Linked DNA regions of Mus musculus. The protein of the gene in region 1 interacts with the protein of each later gene in a pairwise test. Links are inferred from orthologs where the notes say so. Each region holds a gene or a part of one and is shown on either strand. Other genes may lie near its edges. The genes, in order: Disc1, Sptbn1, Dnajc7, Kif3a, Sh3bp5, Myt1l and Mpped1.

The links.
Region 2: the proteins of Disc1 (region 1) and Sptbn1 interact in binary tests that used the Homo sapiens proteins (3 or more experiments, as listed by UniProt). The link is inferred for Mus musculus from reciprocal best matches to the Homo sapiens genes DISC1 and SPTBN1.
Region 3: the proteins of Disc1 (region 1) and Dnajc7 interact in binary tests that used the Homo sapiens proteins (3 or more experiments, as listed by UniProt). The link is inferred for Mus musculus from reciprocal best matches to the Homo sapiens genes DISC1 and DNAJC7.
Region 4: the proteins of Disc1 (region 1) and Kif3a interact in binary tests that used the Homo sapiens proteins (3 or more experiments, as listed by UniProt). The link is inferred for Mus musculus from reciprocal best matches to the Homo sapiens genes DISC1 and KIF3A.
Region 5: the proteins of Disc1 (region 1) and Sh3bp5 interact in a two-hybrid assay, tested with the Homo sapiens proteins (2 studies listed by BioGRID and IntAct). The link is inferred for Mus musculus from reciprocal best matches to the Homo sapiens genes DISC1 and SH3BP5.
Region 6: the proteins of Disc1 (region 1) and Myt1l interact in a two-hybrid assay, tested with the Homo sapiens proteins (2 studies listed by BioGRID and IntAct). The link is inferred for Mus musculus from reciprocal best matches to the Homo sapiens genes DISC1 and MYT1L.
Region 7: the proteins of Disc1 (region 1) and Mpped1 interact in a two-hybrid assay, tested with the Homo sapiens proteins (2 studies listed by BioGRID and IntAct). The link is inferred for Mus musculus from reciprocal best matches to the Homo sapiens genes DISC1 and MPPED1.

The regions. Positions count from the first base shown.
Region 1 is NC_000074.6:125,052,695-125,056,994, forward strand, and holds the start of Disc1 (disrupted in schizophrenia 1 homolog), read left to right. Parts: upstream 1-1,500; 5' UTR 1,501-1,535; coding exon 1,536-1,590; intron 1,591-4,300. UniProt on the Homo sapiens protein: Involved in the regulation of multiple aspects of embryonic and adult neurogenesis. Required for neural progenitor proliferation in the ventrical/subventrical zone during embryonic brain development and in the adult dentate gyrus of the hippocampus.
Region 2 is NC_000077.6:30,216,973-30,221,025, reverse strand, and holds the start of Sptbn1 (spectrin beta chain, non-erythrocytic 1), read left to right. Parts: upstream 1-1,253; 5' UTR 1,254-1,299; coding exon 1,300-1,447; intron 1,448-4,053. UniProt on the Homo sapiens protein: Fodrin, which seems to be involved in secretion, interacts with calmodulin in a calcium-dependent manner and is thus candidate for the calcium-dependent movement of the cytoskeleton at the membrane.
Region 3 is NC_000077.6:100,595,628-100,599,127, reverse strand, and holds part of Dnajc7 (dnaJ homolog subfamily C member 7), read left to right. Parts: intron 1-399; coding exon 400-513; intron 514-1,073; coding exon of another isoform or gene 1,074-1,148; exon of another isoform or gene 1,149-1,701; intron 1,702-2,887; coding exon 2,888-2,962; intron 2,963-3,500. UniProt on the Homo sapiens protein: Acts as a co-chaperone regulating the molecular chaperones HSP70 and HSP90 in folding of steroid receptors, such as the glucocorticoid receptor and the progesterone receptor.
Region 4 is NC_000077.6:53,570,369-53,573,868, forward strand, and holds part of Kif3a (kinesin-like protein KIF3A), read left to right. Parts: intron 1-167; coding exon 168-441; intron 442-3,500. UniProt on the Homo sapiens protein: Microtubule-based anterograde translocator for membranous organelles. Plus end-directed microtubule sliding activity in vitro. Plays a role in primary cilia formation. Plays a role in centriole cohesion and subdistal appendage organization and function.
Region 5 is NC_000080.6:31,387,601-31,391,100, forward strand, and holds part of Sh3bp5 (SH3 domain-binding protein 5), read right to left. Parts: intron 284-3,500; coding exon 119-283; intron 1-118. UniProt on the Homo sapiens protein: Functions as a guanine nucleotide exchange factor (GEF) with specificity for RAB11A and RAB25. Inhibits the auto- and transphosphorylation activity of BTK. Plays a negative regulatory role in BTK-related cytoplasmic signaling in B-cells.
Region 6 is NC_000078.6:29,846,384-29,849,883, forward strand, and holds part of Myt1l (myelin transcription factor 1-like protein), read left to right. Parts: intron 1-2,861; coding exon 2,862-3,112; intron 3,113-3,500. UniProt on the Homo sapiens protein: Transcription factor that plays a key role in neuronal differentiation by specifically repressing expression of non-neuronal genes during neuron differentiation.
Region 7 is NC_000081.6:83,835,523-83,839,022, reverse strand, and holds part of Mpped1 (metallophosphoesterase domain-containing protein 1), read right to left. Parts: exon of another isoform or gene 2,761-3,500; intron 2,751-2,760; coding exon 2,525-2,750; exon of another isoform or gene 2,312-2,524; intron 2,225-2,311; exon of another isoform or gene 1,559-2,224; intron 1-1,558. UniProt on the Homo sapiens protein: May have metallophosphoesterase activity (in vitro).

The DNA.
Region 1 (4,300 bases):
GTGAGCTACTCAGGATAGATGCTGTGAAACTGAACTCTGATCCTCTGCAAGAATGCTATGTGCTCTGAACTGTTGGGCCAGCTTTCCAGCCCCTGTTTTAAGACAGTTTATGTTATATATTCAGAGGTATGCCTAGTTATCCTCGGGAGTGAGTCAGGTAGACCTGAGAGTGTTTATGGCAGGCTGGCCAATTCAACTGTATTTACTACGGAGTGCCTCCTGAGGAGGAGAGGCGTTCCATTCGTTTTAGCTGACCACTTCAGATCGATCGCAGGCCATCACTGAGGGGAGTCAAGGCAGGAACCTAAGGCAGGCCTGCTTGCTATAGCACACAGCATTAACCTCCAATGGAGAGCTCACTTCACTGCCAATCAGGTATAGCAGGAACCACAGAGGACGCTGTTTGCCAGCTGGCTCGTAGATGGGCTTCAGCTCACTTAGCTTTCTTGGATAGTTCGAAACCTAGGTAATGGTGCCGCCCACAGTGGGCTGGGCCTTCGAAGGCCAGTTAACTGTCCAGACCTTTCTTACAGACGCGATACGGGCCAATCTGATCTAGGTAATCATGGACTAAAGCTCTCTGCTCACAGGACCCTAGGCTATGTCACACTGACAGGTAAAGCAAACTAGGATACCAACACAGTGCCTTTTTCAACCCTGTTACCCTACCCACTGCACTAAATCCTGACTCTGCTCATGTCTTTATCAACTTCAGCCGCATCCGCCCGTGCTTACCCGAAGGTTCCTGGTAAGAGGCAACTGCTCTGGCCCACCTTTCCAGCACCTGGTCTTTTTTCTAGGGCCACAGGCTCCTCCCTTCCAGCACGCACTCTCCCAGGCTTCTTCCCACTGCCCCATGCTCCACCCACAGTCAGGTCTCCGGCTGACTCCATGCAGTTCAGTTTTGTAGGTTTATTTTTGCCTCGGGGTCCAGAGGCGAGGTTATGACGGGCCTAACCCCTGACTGGCACTTCCTGTACCCACTGTCCTGTAGCAGGTGCTTTGCTGAAGCAGCCAAAGGGAAGGGATGGGGGAGGTGAGCCAGCTGCCAGGAGCTTGGCACAAGCCAAGGCTTGTGCCGTGCTCCTGGCCAGCCCCGTGCTGCCAGAGATTCGATTCTCAAGTCATTTTTAACAGCTGCTCCCACCCCCCCCGACCTGTCATCTGTCACTTTCCTTCGGCTTCACCGCGACTTGGTAGGAAGAAGTCCCTCTCTTGACCACCCCGCCTTTTACTCCCAGGGTCTGGGAAGCGCCCAGTCTTTCGGTCCCTGGCCACACTGCCCCATCACACTTCCCCTCCTTGGTTTCCTCCAAGTGAAAAGCAAAACTTTCTGCGCTGCGGTCTGGGAGCCGCGAGGGGCGGCGCGCGCGCGCTAGCGAGGGGCCGAGGCTGGAGAGGAAGCGGCGGTCCTGGGCAGGAGGAAGAAGCCAGCCCTCGGCTCGGCCCCCTGCCCGTTTCCCGCCGCCTCCGCGGCCGCCGCTACCACCATCACCACCACAGTCACCGCCGTCCGGGGCGCAGCCGGCCGCACGATGCAGGGCGGGGGTCCCCGGGGCGCTCCGATCCACAGTCCGAGCCACGGCGCAGGTAGGGCCCGGGGTTCTGGAGGAGGGCGAACGAGGCCTGCCGAGATCCGGGCGCACCCTGATGCAGGGGAGGGAAATCGAGGCAGTGAGCGGGGAGTGCAGGGTGCGGGCGGTCGTGTCCCCAGCTCCCACTGCAGCTCCCGTCCAAGCGCGTCCCCGTCCCGAGAGTCCGGCCGCCCTGAGGCGCAGTCGGCGAAGGGCGCGCCCGCACTCCTTCCTTGCGAGGTCCCGGTGGCCGCGAAGGTTTCCGCAGCGCCCAAGTGCAGCTCGATCCCAGGACTCCCTCGGGTGGCCGGCGCAGACGCTGCGGGGACGCGGGGCGAGGTTGAGAGAGGTGTGGGAACTGCAGCCCGCACCTCCCGTGGGGCTGCTCGCCGCCCACTTCCGAGTGTGGACTGTGACGCGCAGGGCAGCGCAGGCTGAGGGGACCCGCTCCATTTCCTCTGTCAGCTTGGGCCACGTACCAACCCCGGTGATGACATCGAGTTAAGTGGGTGGCCGCTTTTCAACCTCAGCAACTCACTGTCAGAAACCCCAAGAAAAGAACGTGATGGCACACGCCTCTTTTCCTAGCACTCGAGAGACAGGAAGACTGTGGAGACTTTCTAATACAATCTGGGCTACAATAGTGAGACTCTATCTCAAAAACCAAAATCAAATCAGAACAATGAAAAATAAAACAAGCACGGAGATCTGCTCCAGACTGGGCTTTGCAGTTTGGGCGTGTGCTGTGCCAAGGAGAGAAGGCAAAGGACTTAGGAGCTTCTTTTGGCTCTTGGAGCCTCAGTTTACCCATCTGTGAAAGGAGCACTAATCACTAGCTTCCCTACCTCCTTAACTGGCTTCTATGAAGACATTTTTGCAATTGGGAGTTGGAAAATACAGGGTTGGTAGGTGGGTGTAGGGTAAGAGTCTTCTGCACCCGCATCCTGGACTCGGGAATGCCTTAGTTTTTCAATTTGTAAAATGGAGCTGATTTTCCTGCCTACGTGGTAGATTTTAAAAGGGGTTTAATGTGGTAGGAGGACATGAAACCCCTGGCCAAATCTCTGCGATACAAAGCAAATTCTCAAAAATCTCTTAGTTGCCCAGGCTAGCCTTAAATCTGCTGCCTAGCCCAGGCTGGCCTCCAATTTGCTAGCCTTTGCCTCCCAAGTGCTGGGATTACAGGTGTGCTCCACTACGCACGGGTCCTTAAGTATTATTTTGACCATGCAAGACCTAAATAATCGTGGGCAATACAGGAATGCCAGTGTGACATGTTAGTGTCTGAGTTACAGGGTATTTGAAAAGACATTTGGCACCTGACATGGAGACCGTTGAGGTTTAGCCAGGATTCTGCCCACAGCAAATAGAGCCCTGGATGAGAAACCTGCTTTCTGAGCTGTCTCTCCAAGTCTCGGGCTTTCTCTTCTGTTTATAAGAAAGAGAAAGCACCTGGGCTGTAATTATTACCTTAGCCCTGAGAGTGCTGCCCTGGGATGGAGAGCAGAACATCTGGAACTGGGGCAGGTGACAGCCTACAGGCGACAGGTGCCACTTTGCAGAGAGTGCATGGGCCAGGCACTTGGTCCTGCCCTTTGATGAGGTCCCCCTCACACCGGTGAGGGGCTGGTGCTACCATCCTCATCTTCCCTTGGATGTGGCAAGGGTTGGAGTCACCTGCCTGTGGCCCTGGTGGTTAAACAGGGACTGGGGCTCAAAGTCAGATGCAGGTGTCTCCAATTACAGGCTGAAGGGAAGGTGTCAGGTGGAGCCCAGGCTGAGCGTGGACCTTTGCCTGGTCAAAGGTAATACCTGGTCTTCTGTTTCTGCCGTTTATACCTATCTTCATCTATCTATCTATCTATCTATCTATCTATCTATCTATCTATCTATCTATCTATCTATCTATCATCTATCTATCTATCTATCTATCTATCTTCTATCTATCAATCATCTATCTGTATATCTTCTGTCTCTATCATCTATCTTCAGCATCTATCAATCATCTATTACCTATCTATCATTTATCCATCAATCTGTCTGTCTATCTTCTATCAATTATCTACCTACCTATCTATCAATCATCTATCTATCTATCTATCTATGTATCTGTCTATGTATCTATCTATCTATCTATCATCTATCTATCTATCTATCATCTATCTATCATCTATCTATCATCTATCTATCTATCTATCTATCTATCATCTATCTATCTATCATCTACCTACCTATCTATCAATCATCTATCTGTATATCTTCTGTCTCTATCACCTATCTTCAGCATCTATCTATCAATCATTTATTACCTATCTATCATTTATCTATCAATCTGTCTATCTATCTTCTATCAATTATCTACCTACCTATCTATCAATCTATCAATCATCTATCTATCTATTTATCTATCTATCATCTATCCATCAACCTATCTGTCTGTCTATCTATCATCTATCAATTATCTACCTACCTACCTATCTATCAATCATCTATCTATCTATCTATCTATCATCTATCTATCTATCTATCTATCTTCTATCTATCAATCATCTATCTGTATATCTTCTGTCTCTATCATCTATCTTCAGCATCTATCAATCATCTATTACCTATCTATCATTTATCCATCAATCTGTCTGTCTATCTTCTATCAATTATCTACCTACCTATCTATCAATCATCTATCTATCTATCTATCTATGTATCTATCTATGTATCTATCTATC
Region 2 (4,053 bases), on another chromosome or scaffold:
TTACCTTTCCCTCTGCACACCTGACTCCAACTATACTGAGCATACCTTGGTGTACCTTTGTCTGGTGTGCCATTCTTCTTGATCTGGCCATGATCTGTACCTTTTAGACACCGAGACCTACACTAAGCAGAGTATTTATTTCTGACCAGTCTAAAATAGCCAGTTTCAAATTCATCTGTTTGTATTTTATTTTCCTTAAACTCTCTGGCTTTTGTGTGTGTGTGTTTTTGGTCTCCCTTCTATGAGGATGTAACACTTGTGTCATTTATTGTTCTCCCCAGGAATCTAGAGCACTGCTGATCATGTAGTAATTCCTCAATATGGTTGGGTTCTGCATGTGAGTAATAGCTGTATTGAATGGAGAAACTGTATTTAAAACTAAACATATTTCTCTTGATCCTCCAAGAATACATTGATAAAGTGAAGACTTTAGTGAGCCAGAGCTTATTTCATAGTTATTCCTTAAAAAAAAAAAAACCCACCATTATCCTCAAGGGCTTTAAAGGAGTGGGCATTACTATTGGTATTGGTCCTAGAATTTATAGTAACAATGGTATAAATAATTATAATACCTATTGAGTATTTACTATGCATGGATACTATCTTTGTTGCCATATGCTTCCATCTTAACCTTAGGCATCAATTCTAATATGTAAATGAGACATAGAGACAGAATGATTTGTTAGTTTTTCTTATATAGTAGCTTATGAAGGAAAAACTAAACGGTAATAGACAATAAAACTAAGGGAATTCACTTAAAAAGATCCATGTAGATGCTGATACAGCCCTGATAAAACATTAAACCTTCACCTTAAACTTTTTTGGTTCATTTTGCTCTGTTTTGGTTTTTTTCAAGACATGGTTTCTCTGTGTAGCCATAGCTGTCTTGTACTCCAGGCTGGCCTCAGACACATAGAGATCAGCCTGCCTCTGCCTCCTGAGTACTGGGATTAAAGGTGTGCACCATCACTGCCCAGACACTTTAAACTCCTTTAGGAAAGAACATTAATTTGGCACCCAGTGTTTCCTTCAGTCTTCTCCCTCCTCCGGGTTTGGGGAAAGCATTAAAGTAGCATGACCGAGGTCACACATGTGCTATGAAGCAGAGCCAAAGTTCAGAACTGGCCTTGGCTCTAGAAGGCACATCTGGACAAGCAGTGACTGTCCTAGTTTTTCCTTATTATCACCCCAGCAGGTGTATAGAGGATGTACACTTTGTATACACACCTGTGCTTTTCCTTTTTTACTCACAGAACTCTGAAAAGTAACTGATGTGGACAAGCAGCTGAGACAGTCAAGATGACGACCACGGTAGCCACAGACTATGACAACATTGAGATCCAGCAGCAGTACAGTGATGTGAACAACCGCTGGGATGTGGATGACTGGGACAATGAGAACAGCTCTGCAAGGCTCTTTGAGCGCTCCCGCATCAAGGCCCTGGCAGGTAAGTGTCCTGATGTTGTATGTCCCACCTGTCACCAGATGTTCTGTAGTCCCTTGAACATCAACCATTTCTCTTTTAAGCTGTCTTGCTTGAAGTTGACCTCTCCCTGCTTTAACATATCCTATGAGAGCTTGCTTACCCTTTTATAAGACATTTACTTTTGGAGAGCTGCCGAACTTAATGACCAACATAGTTTAGAACACAGTAAATAATGTTTACAGCAATTTAGAAAGAGCTGCTAAGAGTTTGTAAGGATTTTTTAATTCTAACACATCTTTAATTTCAAGTGTTTTAACATACTATATTTATATAAAATATCCAACTTGGCTGTATACGTAATGCCAGTGGCAGATTAGCTGATCTTTTCGGTGAGAGGTTGGTAAGTACCTTGTTACAAGGGCTTTAGATCTGAAAAGTAGCAGTGTCCTGTGGGAAGGCCATATTTAATGCTGTTAATGAGTAGGTTTGCCACTGATCATTCCCATTCAGTTTCATTTTCTAGAGAAAAACCATGCCAGGTAGATGTTAAGTAGTTATTCCAATTATATTCTAGTTTACGATACAAAGTCTATTATAATAGGTGCCTTGATTATTAAATTGTAAGTTTGTCAGTACTTTTGACATGATTCACATGAACTAGAAACCCACAAGAAAGTATTCAGGAAACAAGGGAGCTAAACATTTATTCTGTGTCTGCTGATTGGATTCTTTGAAAAGAATCCTGAATTCATGATTATTTTTAGTCAAGTCATTTCTGTTTGCCAAGAATAGAGATGCATGTACTCTGAATTAAAGAGATGTGTTTGCTAGTAGAAAACACAGTTGTTCAACATGGACAGAGCCCTCATTTCATCCTTGCCATACAAAAACAAGTAACAGCAGCAGCATGTGATAGAATTAAAGGAGAATAAAGGGATTATCGTAAAATATCAGACAGGGGCCAGGTGTGGTGGCCATGCTTTTAATCCTAGCACTCAGGAAACAGAGGCAGGCAGATGTTTGTGAGTTTGAGGCCAGCCTGGTTTACCTAGCAAGTTTTAGGCCAGCTAAGATTGATGTGGTAAGACACTGTCTCAAATAAGAGAAAGAGAGATGGATGGAGGGAGACAGGGAAAGTGGAGGTTGGTCTCATGCAAAGCAGGCTCAACAAAGCCATGTGCTAACTGCTATAGGACAGTATCTCAGTTATTCTTCATTTGTTGGAGCCCTCCACTTAGTAACTGCGCCTTCATAATTTGTCTTACACCAGACTTGGGTGCAATGTAGATTCAATGAAACCTCAGTGCAAAATTATATTTATAATTTAATTGACTTAATAACCCAGTTTCCTTTTAGTACAAATTTCTGTAAGATTGGGTGTGGTATTGAAATTCTGTTTGGCCCAGATATTTATATAGCAGGCCATGGCTAGCTGGAGACTTACAAATGATTGCCTTTAAAAGAGGCAGCTTAAGACTGGTGCAATATTGCCCACCAGCCCTCCCAACCCAAGTTTGATCCCTGGGACCCACATAGTGTCAAGAGAGAATTGAGTCACAACAGTTTTTCTTTGACCTCCACACCATGCCGTGTCATGTGTGCAAATCTTTCCTTCAAATTAAAAATAAATAAAGACAGACAGACAGGAAGGAAGGAAGCCAGCCAGCCAGGTAGTGATGTGCATTTCTTTAATCTCAGCACTCAGGTGACAGAGGCAGGTCTGAGTTTCAGACCAGCCAGGTCTACAGAGTGAGTTCTAGAATGGCCAGAGCTACACAGAAAAATCCTGACTGACAAAAAAAAAAAAAAAAGATCAATCAGAAAAAATATATTTGAAGAAAATGTAGCAGTGCTACCCAGCGGTCTGTCTGTCTAGAGGTGTGGTTGGTGTGTTCAGAGCAGATAATTTGTAGATTAGAGAAAGAAGGCTTTTATGTTAACTTTTTAAGGGAGATTAGCATATTCTGCATGAAGATAAACCATCTGTGAAAGGAAACAAGGTGCAAATTGGCCCCAGAACAAGAGAGACTTAGGTAAATAAACAAGTCTCTTTTTAGCCTCCTTCTGTGAGTGCCTTACCCCCTGTAGTGGTCTTCCAGATTGCAGGAAGCCTGACTGCTGTATGCTGAGCGTCATTGCTCATCCCTTCCCTTTTGCCTCTTGTCAAATTCTAGTTGGAAGCACTGGTGTGTTGGGATTGGAGGGAGGCTTTGGGCACTGAGCTGTGACTGGGCTATAGCTATGTTAGAACACAGAGCCCTTTGGAGATGTTCTCTGCAAAAGCTGGTGGCTCTCAGGGAGATGGCACTAAATGGCACTAGGCAGCAGAACAGTCAAGTAGATGCTTGTTTTCAACTCAGAGATAACATTTTACAAAATGGTAAGATTACAATAACCATTAACTGTTTTCCTTTAAGAGAAAAGAAGCAGAAGTGGATACCTCTCTTTAAAATCCTGGAAATTCTTGAAGAGAAATGAACCTTATACTGTTAGGCCTTTAAAATAAGCCTCTACTGAAGTGCCCAATACTAGAACTGCTCCAGGTCTGGTTTGGTTTGTTCTTTACAGTGCTGACATAAAAATCCGTGTGTTATTTAATAAGGCAACAAAAACACTTACCACATATC
Region 3 (3,500 bases), on another chromosome or scaffold:
CTAACCATTAGGAGCATTTCCTCTTTTCATTGTGACAGCCACAACCATCTCCTAATTGTGACAATGTCCCCTCAAGATCAAGTGCTCCCTCTGAGAGCATTGTTCTGCCTTTTCACTGCATGCTGGTGTGTAGACTGTTTTTTTGGTTTTTTGGTTTTTTTGGGGGGTTGTTTTTTTTGTTGTTGTTTTGTTTTTTGTTTTTCGAGACAGAGTTTCTCTGTGTAGTCCTGGTTGTCCTGGAACTCACTCTGTAAACCAGGCTAGCCTTGAACTCAGAAATCCTCCTGCCTCTGCCTCCCAAGTGCTGGGATTAAAGGCGTGCGCCACCACGCCCGGCTGTTTGCTGTTGTGTTGACCTGTGCAGTCATATTTCTTTCCTCCCTCTGTGCTTTCTTCTAGGGACACCTCCGAGAAGGCAAGTGCCACCTCTCACTTGGGAATGCAATGGCGGCATGTCGTAGTTTCCAAAGAGCCCTAGAACTGGATCATAAAAATGCCCAGGCACAGCAGGAGGTAGGTCTGATCTGTTCCTATGAGAGGTGGTGGTGCGGTGGGTCTGGAAAGAAGAGTGACCAATAAGGCAGGACTGACAGTCTCACTTCACCAGCAGCCACACTTAGCCAACTTTAGGTAAATCTCATAGTCTCTGCGACTGTTACCTTAACTGTTAAATGAGTTTTCAGTATGTAAAAAGTGGAAAGCTTCAGAGATGACTGGGTAGACGCATAATGCTTCAGGAAGGAAGCTAAGGAACGAAATTAAAGCATTTGAATAAAGTCAGAGCTAGGGTGTAGCTCAGTTACAGAACATTAGTCTAGATGTTCTGAGTCTCGGTTTCAGACCTTGGGTTTGTCAGAAAGAACTGGTCTATGCTCAGATGTGGCTTAAGCTGGTAGCACACGTCTTTCAGTTCCACCTTTGTAGTAGGTGCCTGGACACATCTGAGTGAGCATCTCAAAACTGCCCAACCCCTGGCTTATGGTGGCCATATTTTATGTCTCCTGTCTTCCTGACAGGAAGTCAACATTAAACAAGAAACTTGGGTCTTGACCTTTTCTGTTTTCTTTTAAAAGATAGGGTTTCAAGTCTGGAAATGCACCTCACTGGACAGTGCTGGCCTAGCGTGCGTGAGGCCCTCGTCTCAGTAAAGCCTTCTGTGGTAGTGCACACTTTGGAATCCCATTACTTAGACAATGGAAACTGAAGGACAAGTTCAAGACCATCTGCAGCTACATAACAAGTTTAAGCTAGCCCAGGCTACATGAGACCTTGTCTCCAAACAAAACAAAAAATGGGTCTCCATGTAGCCCAGGCTAACTGGTCTCGTCTGTCTTGGTATTGGAGGGGTCTATTTGTCACTAATTTTATGTGTATTGCTATGAGAGTATCAGACCTTCTGGAACTGGAGTTACAGACAGCTGTGAGCTGCCATGTGAGTTGCTGGGAATTGAACCCAGGACCTCTGAAAGAGCGGCCAGTGCTCTTAACTGCTGAGCCATCTCTCCAGCCCGTCACCAGCTTTTTAAGGAAATGTTTAATTCTTATTTTCCTTGGAGTGGGGGTTTGGTTTTTTGAGGCAGGGTTTCTCAGTGTGTCCCTGGCTGTTCTGGAATTTGTACTGTACACCAGGCTGACCTCGAACTCACAAAGACCTGCCTGCCCCTGCCTCCTGACTGCTGGGATTAAAGGCTTGCACCACAACTGTGGCTCCTTTTGTTTTGTTTTTTAAATTTATGTGTATATGTACTCTTGTGCTTTCGTTTGTATGAGGGCAGACTTGTACTGGCTGTGGCAGTGATGTTGGAGATCAGGGTTATTGCCTGGAAGATCATGTCTCCTGTTCTGTCTTGCTTAAAACAGTCTCTCTAGTTTTTTTGTCTTTGAGACAAGAGTCTCACATGTCTGTGAATGCCCTGGAGCTGGATGTATAGAGCAAGCTGCCCTTTGCTTCTCAAGTGGACATTACACTGACCAGCAAGATAGGATCTCTTGCTTGCTTGCTCCATACTCACTCTCAGCTAACTGACACTCCAGCTACTGGAGAGTCTTATTCCCAGTCCATCTTGCCTTGGCAGCACTGGGTTTATATATACACACTGCCATGTCTGGTTTAACATGGGTTATGGAATTTGATCTCAGGTCGTCACACTTGTATGGCAAGTGTTTACACACAGAGTCATCTCCCTCACCTTGATTTTGTTTATATATTGTATGCACGCATGCCACCTGTATACCTGTGTCTACAGAAGCCAGAAGAGGGCATCAAATCCCCCTGAGGCTGGTGCTAGGACTAAACTCAGTACTGTGGAAGAGCAGCGAGAGCCCTTAAACACTGAGCCATCTCTCATGTGTCCTACCCTATGAGTCCACACACCCCCTTTACTGGGTTTCTAGATCAGGTCTCTATCTGATACACTGTGTAATCCAGGTTAACCTTGCCCTCGCTATTCCCCCGAGTGCTGGCGTTACAGACATGTAGCACCATGCCTGCTGCTTTGATGTGATTCTTTTTTTCCTTCTTTCTTTTTCGAGATAGGGTTTCACTATGTAGCTGTGTAGCTGTGGCTGGCCCTAAACTCACAGGAATGGACCTGCTCTGTCTCTCTCTGTGTTAGGGTTAAAGGTGCTTGCCACCATGCCCAGCTTCTGTGGTTTGAAAAAGTTGTGTTGTTGAGACCGTCTTACTATATAGCCCTGGCTGTTCTGGAACTCACTATGTAGTTCAGGCTGGCCTCAAACTCAAGAGATCTACCTCCTGAGTGCTGGGATTAAAGGTGTGCACCACCATACCCCGCTCCAGTGATATTCTTGAAAGAAGGAATTCATCAGGGTCTTAGTGACTTTTATGATTGTTCAACCTAAACTTCATTTTTTTCCCATGGTGTAGTTCAAGAACGCCAATGCCGTCATGGAGTATGAGAAAATAGCAGAAGTGGATTTTGAAAAGCGAGATTTCCGGAAGGTAAAGTAGAAGCGACTACAACCTACCCTCCTCTGTGCTGTGATAATACAGAGCGGTCTAGACTAGTACATTGTCATTCAAATTTGGCTTTGACCTTTTCTCTCTTAAAAGTATTTTTTGCTAAGTTGCTTTATTTCTTAATTTTATTTGGCTTTTCAATAAGGAGCAAAAATCAGCTTGCTTATATTCCCGTTGGCTATGTCAGGTAGTGTATCTCAGATCTGTGCTAATTAATGAAAGAAAAGTCAGCTGGAAATAAATACTGGGGCTGAGTAATCCATATTTATCTGATTAACTTGCTTCTGATGGAGTAGATGCTATAAATAAGGGTGGGAGACGGAAACCCTCATTACATTTTTGGAGTGTGTGTAACCTGTTACATCACCTCTCTCTGCCGTCTGTCAGCCTCGGCTTCAAGTGCTAGGATTACAGCATGAGCCCCTGCCACCTTTTTGATGTTATTTTGGGTCTTGTGTGTAGCTCAAGCTGGCCTGAAAGTTGGCAGTCCTCTGCTGCCGCTATACCCAGCTTGGTGTTA
Region 4 (3,500 bases), on another chromosome or scaffold:
TACCTATAAACCCTTTCTGTATATGTAGAGATCTTTAATTGCATTTATCGAAGGCTTGTAAAGTCTTAGCACATCCGGGATGCTGAGGTGGAAAAGTAGACTTTTCTAACTATATTTAGAGCAAAAGGAATGTTCTTCTCACTCTTTGTAAACACTGTCTCCACCAGATCAATAAGTCGGAGAAGCCGGAAAGCTGCGATAATGTGAAGGTGGTGGTTAGGTGCCGGCCTCTCAATGAGAGAGAGAAGTCAATGTGCTATAGACAGGCCGTCAGCGTGGATGAAATGAGGGGAACTATCACCGTCCATAAGACCGATTCCTCCAACGAACCTCCAAAGACATTTACTTTCGATACTGTTTTTGGACCAGAAAGTAAACAACTTGATGTGTATAACTTAACTGCAAGACCAATTATTGATTCTGTTCTGGAAGGCTACAATGGTGAGTGACTGTGCAGCTTGCTTTTATTGTTGCATAAGTAATGCCCGGTAAAATCGGTAGTTTACGTATCGCAGCTATGGCTTGATGAGCTATGGTAACATAGACGGTTGTGAGGCCTCACCCAGGTCCTGTTCTAGAACACTAATATCACCCTGCAGCGCTCCTTTCCACCCTCTTGCAGCTCCCACCTGCGTCCATTGACCTGCCATGGCGTCACTGTAGTTTTGTCCTTTTGAAAACGCATTTAAATGATGCCACGAAATGCCATCTTATGTGTAGGAGTATATTGCCTTCATGTAGGTCTGTGCTTGTTCCATATGCTTACAGTGGAGGTCAGAGAGGGTGGGCAGTCCTGGGACTGGAGTTCCAGGGTTTTGAGCCACCATGTAGGTGCTGGTGCTGAGAATCCAACCTGGGGCCTCAAGAGAGCAGCCACTGCTCTTAACTACTGAGCCACCTCTCCAGCCCATAAAATGCTACCTTTTAAAAAGCAGTTTTCTTTCTCTTTGTGTAATGTTTTGAACTTACCTGACTTCATCAGTAACTTCGTGACTTGAGAAAAAAAAAAAGATGTATTTATTCTTATATATGTGTATGAGTAAGTGTTTGCCTGTAAGTATGTGGACCATGTGCGTGCCTGGTGCCCTCCGAGGTCATAAGAAGGCTTTGGATTTGTGAGCCACCATGTGGGTTCTAGGAACTGTATCTATGTCCTCTGGAAAAGTGTAAAGGCTTTAAATTGCCGAGCCATCTCTCCAGCCCCTATCTTATTTTATTTTATTTTGGATGGTTGGTTTTGTTTTGTTTTTTTAAAGATGGTTTCTCTCTGTAGCTCTGGCTGTCTTTTGTAGATCAGGCTGACCTCAAGAGGTCTCCCTATCTTCCTGCCTTTGCCTCCAGGTGCTGGGAGTGTGTGTGTGTGTGTGTGTGTGTGTGTGTGTGTGTGTGTGTTTTAACTGCTGAATTGTGTTGCTTGCCACTGCACCTAGTTTTTGTGTATGTGTGTGTGTTTTAACTGCTAAATTGTGTTGCTTTATTGAGTCAGGTTCTCATATATTCCAGGTTGAATAACCTTAAATTTGTTAGTAGTTGAGGCTATCCTTAAACTCTTGAACTCCTTCCTGCTTCTCTAGCCTCCACTTCTGAACTGTATTCCATTGAATATGTGTAACACACTGCCCATTTACCAGTGGATTGAAGTCTAGATTTTTGTTAGATAAATAATGCTGCTGTATGCCTTTGTAAAGATGTAAAGTTTGTCTTGGATAGCTACCTAGAAACTGGATTGTCAAATGGTAAGAGAGAGAGTGTGTGTGTGTGTGTGTGTGTGTGTGTATCTCCAGTTGCTCCAGCATTGTGCCTTTGATTTCAGCACTTGGGAGCAGAGGCAGGCAGATCTCTGAGTATAAAATAGTGTTTAAATCCTCGATTGACAGAGAGTATTGAGTCTTCCGTTTCATTACCATGACTATGTCTTGCTCGCTTAAACTCTTTCACTTCTTTTAATAGTTTTACATTATTCTTACGAACTTAAGAAATTCCTTATGTGGGGACATGTGAGCCCCAGCATGGTATTCACGTAGCAATCAGAAGACACTTGGGGGAGTCATTCCTGCCTTCCTGGAATCAAACTCAGTGTCTTACCTACTCAGCCATCTCTCTTGCCAACTTCTTGGCATTTTGTCATGAATAGAATTTTCTGCATAATTTTATATTGGAATTAAGTATTGTTATTAATACACAGAAGTACATTTGATTTTAAAATAATTTTTATTAAGTTAAAATTTTAAGTGACATAAATCCACTCATCGTTTACAGTATAGGATTAATATTTCCAGTGGATCACGGGGTACAGACTGCCACCACCTCCTGTTGTTAGACTGTTTCCAGCAACCCAAGAGGGAATTTGAATTTCAGTCACTTCAGTCCGCTCAACACCACTGCTCTGTTGGAGTTTCCTGCTCTGGCATTTCATAAAAGTGGCTCACATTCCGCATAGTCTTTTATCTGACTTCTTTCATTAAGCACAGTGTTTTCTGTGCTCATTCTTACGTAGAGTGTATCAGTATTCAATTCACTCATTCATTCATTCATTCATTTATTCATTCATGTCATCACCAAATAGTATTCCCGTGTATAGATACTTTTTGTTTGTACATTCATCTGTTGAACATTTGGGCTGTTGTTACTTTCTAGCTAACTATTAGGAGTAATGTTTAGCATATTCTTGTACAAGCTTTTAGCTTTTCTGAACATATACACCTAGGAGTGGAGTTGCTGAGTCATGGGTTTACTTTCTTTGACCTTTTGAAGAACTGCCAACGTATATTTCACAGTGACATCACCATTTCACATTCCTACCAGCAACGTAAGCGGTCCAGTTTCTCCGCTCCCTTCCCAGCATCTGTTACCATCATTTTGGTATTAGCATCCCAAAGACACAAAGTCCTGTCTCATATCAACCTCATTTCTGCAACCTTGCTAAACTTAAAAATTCTTGTCACATTTCTGTGTTTGCCCCAGGTTAGCGGGTGGAAATCAAAATCTAGACCTTTATGCTTTAAAAAAAAATTCTCCAGGATTTTCTACATGCATAATTACATTGTCTGCCAGTAAAGACAGCTTTTACTTTTCTTTGCAGTCTTTTGCCTTTAATTTACTTTTGTTGCCCGAAACCCTGGCCAGAAAATTCAATAAATGTAGAGCATAATTGGAGAGAGCAAGTGCCCTGCTCCTGCTTTGACTGTGAATCTCATGTTAGCTGTAGGTTCCCACACACATTCTCAGCCAGACTGAGGAAGCACCTCCCTTCTAGTTCAGTTTGCTCACAGGTGTTTGTTTTGCTTATCTGTCTGTCTGTCCTTTCTTGCAGGAATGTAATATTACGTATTTTCAAATGCAGTTTTGTTCTTTTGAAGTTTGTCACTAGGTTTTTATAAGTGACGCCAGCTTTGTCACTTAGTCATGAATTATTATTCTTTTCAAATATTGTTACATTTGATTTGCCAAATTATTATTCAAAATTTTTGTGTTCACGAGAGATATAAAACACAGTTTTC
Region 5 (3,500 bases), on another chromosome or scaffold:
ACCTTTACAGGAGGGTTTCATGCTGCCTAGAAACCTGTCTCTATTCTTGTGGGGGAGCCAAAGGACATCCAGCATGTGGCTTGGGTCCCCACCACCAGCGCACACAGGTCCCGCCTACCCTCTGAGTAGCATGGTTCAGCATTTCCTGCCAAGCAGAGTCAAACTGCCGCTTGTCATCCTCCAACAGCCGCTGCTCAGCCAGAGAGATTGTTTCCTTGGCTGCACGGAGTACCTCGGTGGCCCTCTGGAAGTCCTGTGTGGCCTTCTGCGCCTCCAGCTGAGCCTGTTGAGAGAGAAGGTCTAGTAAGGCCTGAGGCAAAGGCCAGGACTCCCTGAGGTCCATTGCTCCCACCCCCCGAGATGAGTGGCCCGAGATCTGACCTATCCATCTCTGCCTCCCTCTTGGACAGGCTGCATGGGACAGGTCCCTCATATGTGGGACGGGATAGCAGGTGGCCAGTGGCTGAGTGAATACCAGGTCGGTGGGCAGACAGTCTCCAGTCTGGAGCTCAACAGATAATCAGATGCATGGATCTTGCATCTGTGATGGCAATGGCTAATTAAGCCTTTCCCCAAAGTCCTGGCTTAGGACTGATGCCCAGATAGGCACAGCAGTCCTGGGCATCTTCCCTGCACGCCACAGCCCAAAGTGCTCCAGAGACCACAGTTGTAGGGCTCCGCTCTACAGATGAGGCACAGTAATTGAAAACAGCTTTTCCCGAGACTCCAAAGCTGATCAGAAGCAAGGCTCCAGGCAAATGCCCCACAGCACGAGTGCCAGCCTAGCACGTCCACTGCCAGACAGCCCCCTCAGTCCACATATACACCCAGGCCCAGGCCTACTGAGAGCACAAGCCCTGCTTTCAGGAAGGAAGAGGCAATACAAACAGCAGCCCAAACAGCAGCCGCCAACGCATGTGTCTGCATGTAGACATGTGCACATGGGGAAATCTGACGTTAATGCTGGAGACCACTCCTCAGGAGCCTTGTTTTCTGTGACAAGGTTTCTCACTGGCGGGAAGTCCCCTGTTAGGCTAGGCTGCTGCCAGAGAGCCCCAGGATCCAGCCACCTCTCCGGCTCTGGGATTCCTGCCTGGCTTCCTTCCGCAGGTTCTGGGGATGCTTGCACAGCCAGCACTGTACTGATTAAACAATCTCAGGCCAGCACGTAACCCCTGAGCATCTAAATGTGATTAACAAGAAAATGCAAACATCTCTCACAGCCCAGAGAGAGCTCAGAAGTTGCTGTGCTTGCTACACGAGCAGGAGGACCGGAGGCTCAGATCCCCAAAACTCACATAAATGCCAGGGAGGTGTGGCAGCTGCCACAGCTCAGGAAATAAGGACAGGAGGTTATTGAAGCAAGCTGGTTAGAAAGACTAGCTGACTCTTAGAGTCCTGGGCTTGACTGAGAGACCCTGCCTCAAAACCTGAAGTAGACGATTCCTGATACCCACTCACACACAAGCACGTACACACACATATTCATGAGTACCTACCTGCTCACACATGTGCCACACATGTGAATATGCACACATGCACAATACACACACACACCTCATTTTAAAGACTCAGTAGAAAAATGTTGATTATCCCATTAGCCATTTTTTTGATCAATGATGAGATACACTAAACTAAATCCAATAGACTGAAATTAATTTCCGCTGTTTGTTTCCTCATAGGTGACTCTCTACTACTTTAGGGCTGTTGATGTTCGTCCCTCAAGAGTGGGCTATGTCATGTGACTGCATGAGACACAGGGCTGGGGAGATGGCTTGGTAGGAAAAGCGCTTGCTGTGCAGGCGTGAAGACCTAAGTTCAGGGCCCCAGAATCCATGTAAAACCAGACCCAGTAGCACGCATCCGAAACCCAGTGCTCCAGGGTCAGAGGGGAAATGGCGGAGACAGCAGAATCCCCCCAGATGCTCACAGACCAGGTCAACTGGTGTGGTGAATGCAGAGGCAAACAAGACCCTATCTCAAACAAGGTATTCAGTGAGGACCCCTGGAGTGCATCCTCTGGTGTCCACACTCACACTGAAGCACACACTCCCCTGAAAGCAGTCACTGCTGGCCCCTCTCTCCTCCAGCTCACCTCCAAATTCCCACCTGGGTAGGGGCAGGACATGGCTCCTGCTAATCTGCCCCAGACCACTTCCAGAGTCAACAGGGTCCCTGGGCCAATTACAGAAGCCCTAATGGGACAGCCCCAGGACAGTCCCTGGGACTTAGGAGGGGAACAAGCGGACCCCACCCTTCCCCAGAGAAAGCCTCACATGACTTAGAGGAAATTTTCACATAGACTGAGGGCATTTTGCAAAGAAAATTAAGAGGAACAGCTGAGAATATAGCAGCCCTGGGGGAAGAAACAGCCCGGTAACCCATGGTAACCCACAACGGGCATCCGCTTGTCTGGTCTGTGCACACCCACAGCCCAGAGAGATCCATTCTGGGGACTGCGCCCCACATGTAGATGATGTGTAGAAATCTATGCTTCAAGATTGGGTCAGGGCAGGAGAATGGAACTTGCTTCACATAAGAGGAAACTGCGGGAGGTTTTCCTAAAGAGAGGCCTGAAGGGCAGGCAGGAGCTCCAACTCAGGGCTGATGGAGGTCAGGGGAGCACTTAAGACTCTGAAGGGTCTGTAGGAGATCTGATAATGCCCGGAAAGGAGCATTTTAAAAAGCCAGCCTGGGCTGTACATCAAGATCCTGTCTCAAAAAAATTAATAACAATAACAGTAATAGAAGCCTAAATGAATGCCCACCTACCAGCCATCTACATCCCCTGAGGTAGCCTGAAGCACATATAGGGGTGGGGATGCACACCCTCTCTAGAACCAACCAGCCACTGAGAAGTAACTGTACCACGCTGACAACTGCACTCTTTCCCCAAGCTGAGCCTCCTGCCCATCTTACTTCTCCAGACAGGCAAGAAGGGAGATCTGGGCAGGCTTAAGGAAGGTGAATTGTGACCCATCCCCCTATCTCAGTATACCCACAACCTTCCCACAGCTCTGACACAGGGACTCACCCCCTGAGACCCAACATTTTCTAAAATGGGATCTCTCTGCCCCTTCTTCCGTTATCCATCCATCTACCTATTTATCTATCTATTTATATCTATCGCTCTATCTGTCTGTCTATCTATCTATCTAATTTTTTTTTAAATCTTCTTTGAGGCTTTGAGGTTGGGCTCAAACTCAAGCAAATCCTCCTGCCTCACCCTTCTGAAGTCTGGGATTACAAAGATGAGTCGAACCACTTAATTTTCCTTTAAGGTTTCATTAGACAGCATTGGCTGGACTGGAACTTGGTTTATAGAGTAGGCTGGATTTGAACTTGCCATAATCCTCCTGTCTCTACTTCCCATCTACACCCGGCCTTGTGGGTTTTTTGCTGTTGTTGTTTGTAGCAAGTATGGTGGTATGTGTGCACAAATTTTTTCATTTGTATAGTATGGACACACGTGTGTAGAAGCCTGAGGTTGACAATAGGTG
Region 6 (3,500 bases), on another chromosome or scaffold:
TCAGGCAGTGTTAGCAGGGTGAAAGACATCGTTTACTTGAACTAATTGAAGTACAGTCAGTGTTAAAATTATTTCACATAGAACAGAAGTTACTATATAGACTCAGTAAAAAGGAGGATATAGATGTGAACGTGACCCTAGCTGTATGAGTGATGGAAATGGACAGGTGCACGTAGGCGTTGCTGACAATTCAGTCGCCTGCTAGCCTTCTGCACTACCCCCTTGTCAGAATGCAGGCAGCATCTCCATGACTTACCTACTGGAAAAGTGCATGCTGCACCATATTCACACTCAAAGCTTCAAGATGATGGAAAGCGATCAAAGTTAGATAAGAAGAATGCAATCATTTTAAACATTTATTTTAGTAAATTGTTGCCAACAGATGTAGTGTTTTTGAGCAAATGAAATGCTAGGGCACAATACGACACATTCTTCCTGGACTGCAGCCCAAGTGCTTCTCTGTGTCTGCTGCCTGCCACAGACGGCCCCAGTGTCTGCATCTGTGTGGTGGGTATATAGCAGCATCCACAGGGAGGTAGGAAGCTAGGGGTCTGGTATACTTGGCCTGAGAAACAGTTGTCACGAGACAGGATGCAACAGAACATAGCTAAACTCCAAGAGACACCTGCTAGCTCTCCCCTAACTCTGCCCAGGAACCTAAGTAGGGACACTACACAGCACTGAGTGGCAACACCACGTCCCTGCTCTGATACAGCCCTACAGAGTGAGACCCTGTCTCGGAAAACCAAAAACAGCAACAACAAAAAACGAACAAAAGGGGATTTTTTCCCCTGGACCATTAGCTTGCCATCCCCACTTAAAAGAAAGAAAGAAAAAGAGAGAAAGAGAGAAAGAGAAAAGAAAAGAAAAAAATTTAAAAAGAGAGAGGAGAGGAGAGGAGAGGAAAGAGAAAAGAGAAGAGAAGAGGAGAGGAGAGGAGAGGAGAGGAGAGGAGAGGAGAGGAGAGGAGAGGAGAGGAGAGGAGAGGAGAGGAGAGGAGAGGAGAGGAGAGGAGAGGAGAGGAGAGGAGAGGAGAGAAGAGAAGAGAAGAGAAGAGAAGAGAAGAGAAGAGAAGAGAAGAGAAGAGAAGAGACAAGACCTTGTTGACTTGAGGAGGTAAATGCTGTAACACCAGCATTGTGACGTGGCAGGTAGATGCAGGAGGCTCTTCTATTCTAGACCGGCCCACACTATTTGGTGAGCTTTATCTCAGAAACCTCATATGTGGTATAGAGTTTTTCTACTGATTTCATGCTCTTATTTTTTATCAAAAAAAAAAAATGATGCAGAGTCATTAATGTGAGACCACATCCACAACATTTCAAAGCATTGCACATATAGTCCAGTGTCACCCACTGGGCCCATGTGCAGGCCTCTGCCTGGTCCCCTGTACTGTCCTCAGTCACTCAGGGGCTCATGGCTGCAGTTCTGTAATCATGCTAATGGAATTTAGAAAGAGAGAAGAGAGCAAGCAGGTGGCTCCCAGTACAGGAGTTGCCCTGTGCTACTCAGGTTGATCAGGTACCTGACTAACACTGTAGAATTACCAGTGTGTCCAAGTGGCTTCTTGTCCTCCAGGAGCTGTACTGAAACCGTCTGTGGTTCCTTAGAAGATACCGGGATGAAACAGTTGTTTGTGCATTTTGTTTCTGAGTGTAATGGCTGAAGTTAGAATGAGGTAGTCACTGTTGCCCCAGGATCTGATCATCATGGCCTTATCCGAAGTACCCTGAGTTTTATTAAAATGTTTTCCCAATACCGTATCTCCCCAAGTATGAAGCAGGCGACATTTAATCCAAACTCACATTACCAGTGAGGGTCATTTCACTCTTTAGTGTTTGGAAATAATTTCATAGTATGGGTTGCAAAACCTGTTAGTCACATGAGGTTTATGGTTCATTTTGTGTATTTCTTCCTCTTTGGGGGACAACTGCCAAAATCATAAAGACCCTCAGGTCATCAGCTAGGATCAGTGGCCAGTCTAAGGCCCCTCCCCTCAGTGCCTCTCTATTCCCTTAACAGTTCTCTTTAGATAATTCCTCACTCTGAGGAGGCTGGGCAGGGAGTCTCGTCTCTATGTGGAATATCTGGTCTTGGTGAAAATAAATATTCTGTGAGCTCAACTAGCTCTGCCTCTGTGTTAGTGTAAAGGACCCATGCTAATAAATCAGCCATGAAGGAGAGGCAGTGAAGCAGCTCTGAAGTTAACCCTTCCCCCAAATAGCTGCTGGTTGTATATGAGGGTGCTGCCATGAATGAATGCTAATCAAGGTATCTGTAAGGAAAGACACCCTGCAGGCAAATAAAGAGCTGCTCCAGGTACCCTCTGGTGTCCCATGCTCACCAGGGACAGGTCTCTGTCCTTGGGCACAGGGCAAGCTCATCCTTTCCTCTATCCAGAAGCCTGTCTAAAAATCACAGGACAGAGGTGTTTGGCTCACAATAGTTGGTATGCATGCACTGCCAGAAACTTACTTTACAAAGCCTGTAGTCCTCATAGCCTCAGTGGTGGTTCTTGGAGATCCTGAGGATCTGGGTCAACAACACAGGTTGATATCCACAGCCACATGTGGCTAGAAAGAGTGGTCAACCTCTTGATGTCGCAGTAGCCAAGTCCTGTCCTACCCAAGTGGGTAGATGCTGCAGCAGACATGAGTAGCCTGTCAAAACAAGGGTGATCCTCTCCCAAGGTCATCCTAATTATCTGTTCCTTCAAGCATGCACAGTGTGGAAGGGGACAGAATCTGGGCTCTTCATGAATAACCCTAATTTCTTTGTGTATAAAGATAGGTGGTCAGGACCAATTGTGTATCCTGCATCCTGGGTGCAGGGCCTAACCACACTGTCCTCTGTCTCTGCAGCCAAGCGGTACTGCAAGAATGCCAGCCCCAGCAGCAGCACCACCAGCAGCTATGCACCTAGCAGCAGCAGCAACCTCAGCTGTGGTGGTGGCAGCAGCGCCAGTAGCACGTGTAGCAAGAGCAGCTTTGACTACACACATGACATGGAGGCCGCACACATGGCAGCCACAGCCATTCTCAACCTGTCCACACGTTGTCGTGAAATGCCACAGAACCTGTCCACCAAGCCACAGGACCTGTGTACTGCCCGGGTATGCCCAGGGCCCCAGCCATGACCCATGGGAGCTGTCTATGAGTTCGTTCACTGCCAGCCCTATAGCCCTGTGCCTCAGAACAAAGAAAGGCCTTGGTCCCCTCCAGCCCTAACTTGTGCCTGGGACATTAGCACAGCCATCACCCATGGTCTTTATGGTGTCTCAGTTGAATAGTACACAAAACCAAAAAAGAGGTACAACTTGACATTTAAACAAGACAGTTTAGTGGCAGCATTTTTAGATAAATGTGAGGCTGTTCCTTCACCATGTGCCTAGTAGGTCTCACAGGTCAGAGAAGCCAAGAAGTGACATCCGATTGCACTCTTGATTGTCTGTGGTCTCAGCCAAAGCTGTTAGCTTGGAGGCGCCTTGGTGCTACAAGAGA
Region 7 (3,500 bases), on another chromosome or scaffold:
ACACCCTACTCATTTACTCTGCTCACCAGCCTGGGCTTCCGCTGGCACAGGTCTGCGGTCAAGAAGAAGGCAAGGCCTGGGGGAAGCCAGGACTAGAGAGGCCAGTCATGTCCACAGTGAAGGTCACACTGGGGCCACTGGTGGCCAGAGCTCCAAGCATCAGGACAGTGATTGAACTGGCAGCTGGGCTCACCCAAGCCTCACCCTCTTGGCTAGTTCAGTGATGGCTGATGAGCCGTTCCCTGGAGAGAGGAGTGCACACCTAGGGAGCCCTGACGCTGAGTTACTCAGCTCTCCTGAGCCTGGCTGCTGGGTGGTGTGTCTCCTCCATTCCCCTCGCCCTCCTTACTAGACCATGAAGGAAGGGCACACTAACAAAGCAGGTCTCCATCCTCTGAGCACTTATGGCAATGGCCATAGGCTCAGGGGAGCCCTCTGACACCTTATAGCCACCACTGGAGGAGGGCACACTGCCACCCCATTCTGTAAGAAAGTGGGCTAAGGCATAGGAAGGTCACCCAGTGATGCCCAGGGCAACACAGCCCACAAAATGTGAGGCTAAAATTAAGCTTAGGGTTTCTTGGTTTTGGGGGGGGGTTGTTTGTTTTGGTCTCTAAGCCATGCCTCTAACCTTTATAACCTTCTTTTTAAGGAGCTGTGTGTGTGTGTGTGTGTGTGTGGTGTGTATGGTGTATATGGTGTGTGTGTGTGTGTGTGTGTGTGTGTGTGTGTATAGGTATGTGTGTGATGTGTATATGGTTTGTGTGTGGTGTGTAGTGTGTGTGTGTGGTGTGTGTATGGTGTATATGGGGTGTGTGTGTGTGTGTGTGTGTGTGTTGGGGCAGGTTGTAAACCACAGGGAAAAGAGACCCAGTCTTGATTCTTGACCTCACACTCGGAACCTCCGCCTCTCATCCTGATGGCCCCACCCTATTTTGCCCCGCCCAGATTGTTCAGGCCTCAGGACCCAAGACTTTGCTCAAGGTGAGCTTCTCACACGAGCAGGCTTCAGATCAGCCTTTGCACCCTGTCAGGCAGCCTCAGCCTCCTTCTCACATCCTTGCCCTTGGTTTCGAGTCCCTCACATCGTTGAGTGTCCAAAAACCTTCAGAGGCAGCAGGAGAGCATGGAACCCTTGAGCATCACCACCCCAGGCAGAGACAGCAGGCTCCTCCTGGGGCAGAAGAATGAGTCAGGCTGGCCCCTCTCCCATCCCTGGGGCTTCATAAGATCCACACAGGCCCTATCCCCACCTCGGCCTCAAATCACCAGGGGACACCAAACACCACGGCCCAGGGTTCCCCAGATGTGTTGTGTTTTCTTAGCTCACCCAGAGCCCTCCACAGTGCCACTCCCTCCCTGCCCACGCCCATCTCCTCCCATGAGGCTGAGGTCATCCATCTTCTCTGGGGAGCTTCCTCTCACCCTGCCAGCACTTCACACCCTGTGACCACGCAAGGGCCAGTAGATCTGCCCACAGACTATTGACATGATGCCACAGGCGGCAGCAGAATCACCACCATCTTGTTCATTACCTGATCCTTATCACTACCACCAGCCTCACCGGCGACTGCCATCATCACCAACACCAGCAGCAGCAGCGTCACTGCCATCATCATCAATATCATCACCAACATAACCATCATCACTATCATCTACACCATTACCAACTTCATCGTCATCGTTATCATCACCATCATAAGCATCACACCAACATCATCATCACCATCACCACAGATCTCCACCATCACCATCGCTGTCCTCAGCAGCACTGTTATAGTCAGTTACCATTGCCAAGGACACAGTGACCATCACAAAGCAAGTCTGGACCCGTGGTCACTTCGAGCACCACCCAGCAGGGTGAGTTCAGAGCAATGGCCCAGTCAGCCACTGTCTCCAAGAGAATAAGGGTTCCCTGTGCATTTGTTTTTTAAACAGCTGCTGTCCCCATACAAGAAAGTGCCCCATGGGACCGTCTGATGGTCCCAGATGCCTTTCCTCAATTATGTGGATCAATTGTCTTTTCCAACAACCACATGCCTTTCTGTGGGAGGACAGAAGACAGGCAGAAAGGGAAGATTCCCTCGTGCTGGAGGCGCGTGTTTGAAAGAAAGCCCTGCAGCTGCAGCCCTCCCCTGCTGAGCTGTGCCATCTTGGAAGGTCCGTACTCTCTCCCAGCTCCATTTCTTTATCGTGAGTTGGAGACAATACCACCTGCCTGCATGTAAGACAACATATATATATATATATATATAAATGTAGAGAATATAGATGATATTACCCTTCCTTGATTACCCTTCCTTGGTTCCAGATGGGGAAACTGAGGCCCAGGGGGTGACAGTAGCCTGCCTGAGGTCAAACAGATGGTGAGAGTGACAAGACCAAGTCCCAGATCCTCCTGTTCTCATTGCACCAGCCCTGAGCCTCAACTTTGGGTCCCAATGCCCCTGTAGGAGACTGGAGTTGCCACCACCCGCTTGCCTCGCCCTAACAGCTGGTGAAGGTGGGGGCCGATCACACTCACCACGGGGAGCCGTAGATCCGGAAGCCACGCACCGTGACCTCTGAGTCCTGCAGGTAGATGCAGTTGGTCAGCAGAGACTGCACGTTCTCATAGTTCTCCGGCTTCAGCTTGGACACGGACGGGAAATAATAAAAGTCCTGCTTGATGAGGTCGGCCATGAACTCCTGGTCGAAGGTCAGCTCGTGGTTGCCCGCAATCACGATCTTGTACTCATAGGGCAGGCTGCCTGCGGGGTGGGCATGCACAGAGATGCTGGCGGCCCTTGTGGAAGCCACAGGGCCACCAAAGGGAGATAGCTGGGGACAATCACTGGAGTCCCTCGGCAGGGGTACCCCACTGCCCCATCCTGACCTCTGAATCGGAGAAGGCAGTGTCCCAATCATTTTCCAGGCTCAGCCTGCCTGGCCTTTACTGACCATCAGTCCTTGTGCACAGAGCAGCATCCTTCCAGGACCTAAGCTGCCTCAGTTTTCTCTGCTTCCCTCCCTTCTGTCTACCTCTGACTAGAAGAAAACCTCCCAGGGCCATCAGCCTCAGCTGCCACCAGTCTCTCAGCTTTCTCCACCTTAGGCTATCACTCCTCAGCCTACACGTGCAAGCTCTTGGTAGAACCCGGTTCAAACCTTCAGAAATGCTGCCCTCAGGGAAAACCCCAGTGCCCAGCAGCATCCGCATGGAATTTGCAGTCAATACAAGGTTCTGGAATGCCCAACCTTTTGCACACCATGGTCTGATGTCATCTGCAAGGTTCAGACCCAAGAACCACACAGCAGGTTACAAACAAACAAACAAACAAACAAACAAACAAACCCCAGGAGGCTAACAGCCTCAGAGTGACCAGCGGTGCCCACCTACGGGGCATCCTCCCCGTTGGCCCAGAAAAATGCCATTCACCCTGCCCTCATTCAGTGCCCAGATCCCACATTGCCCAGCCCTCTGCCTCGGTTGCTGCATGAAGGAAGCTGTAATGGCTCTG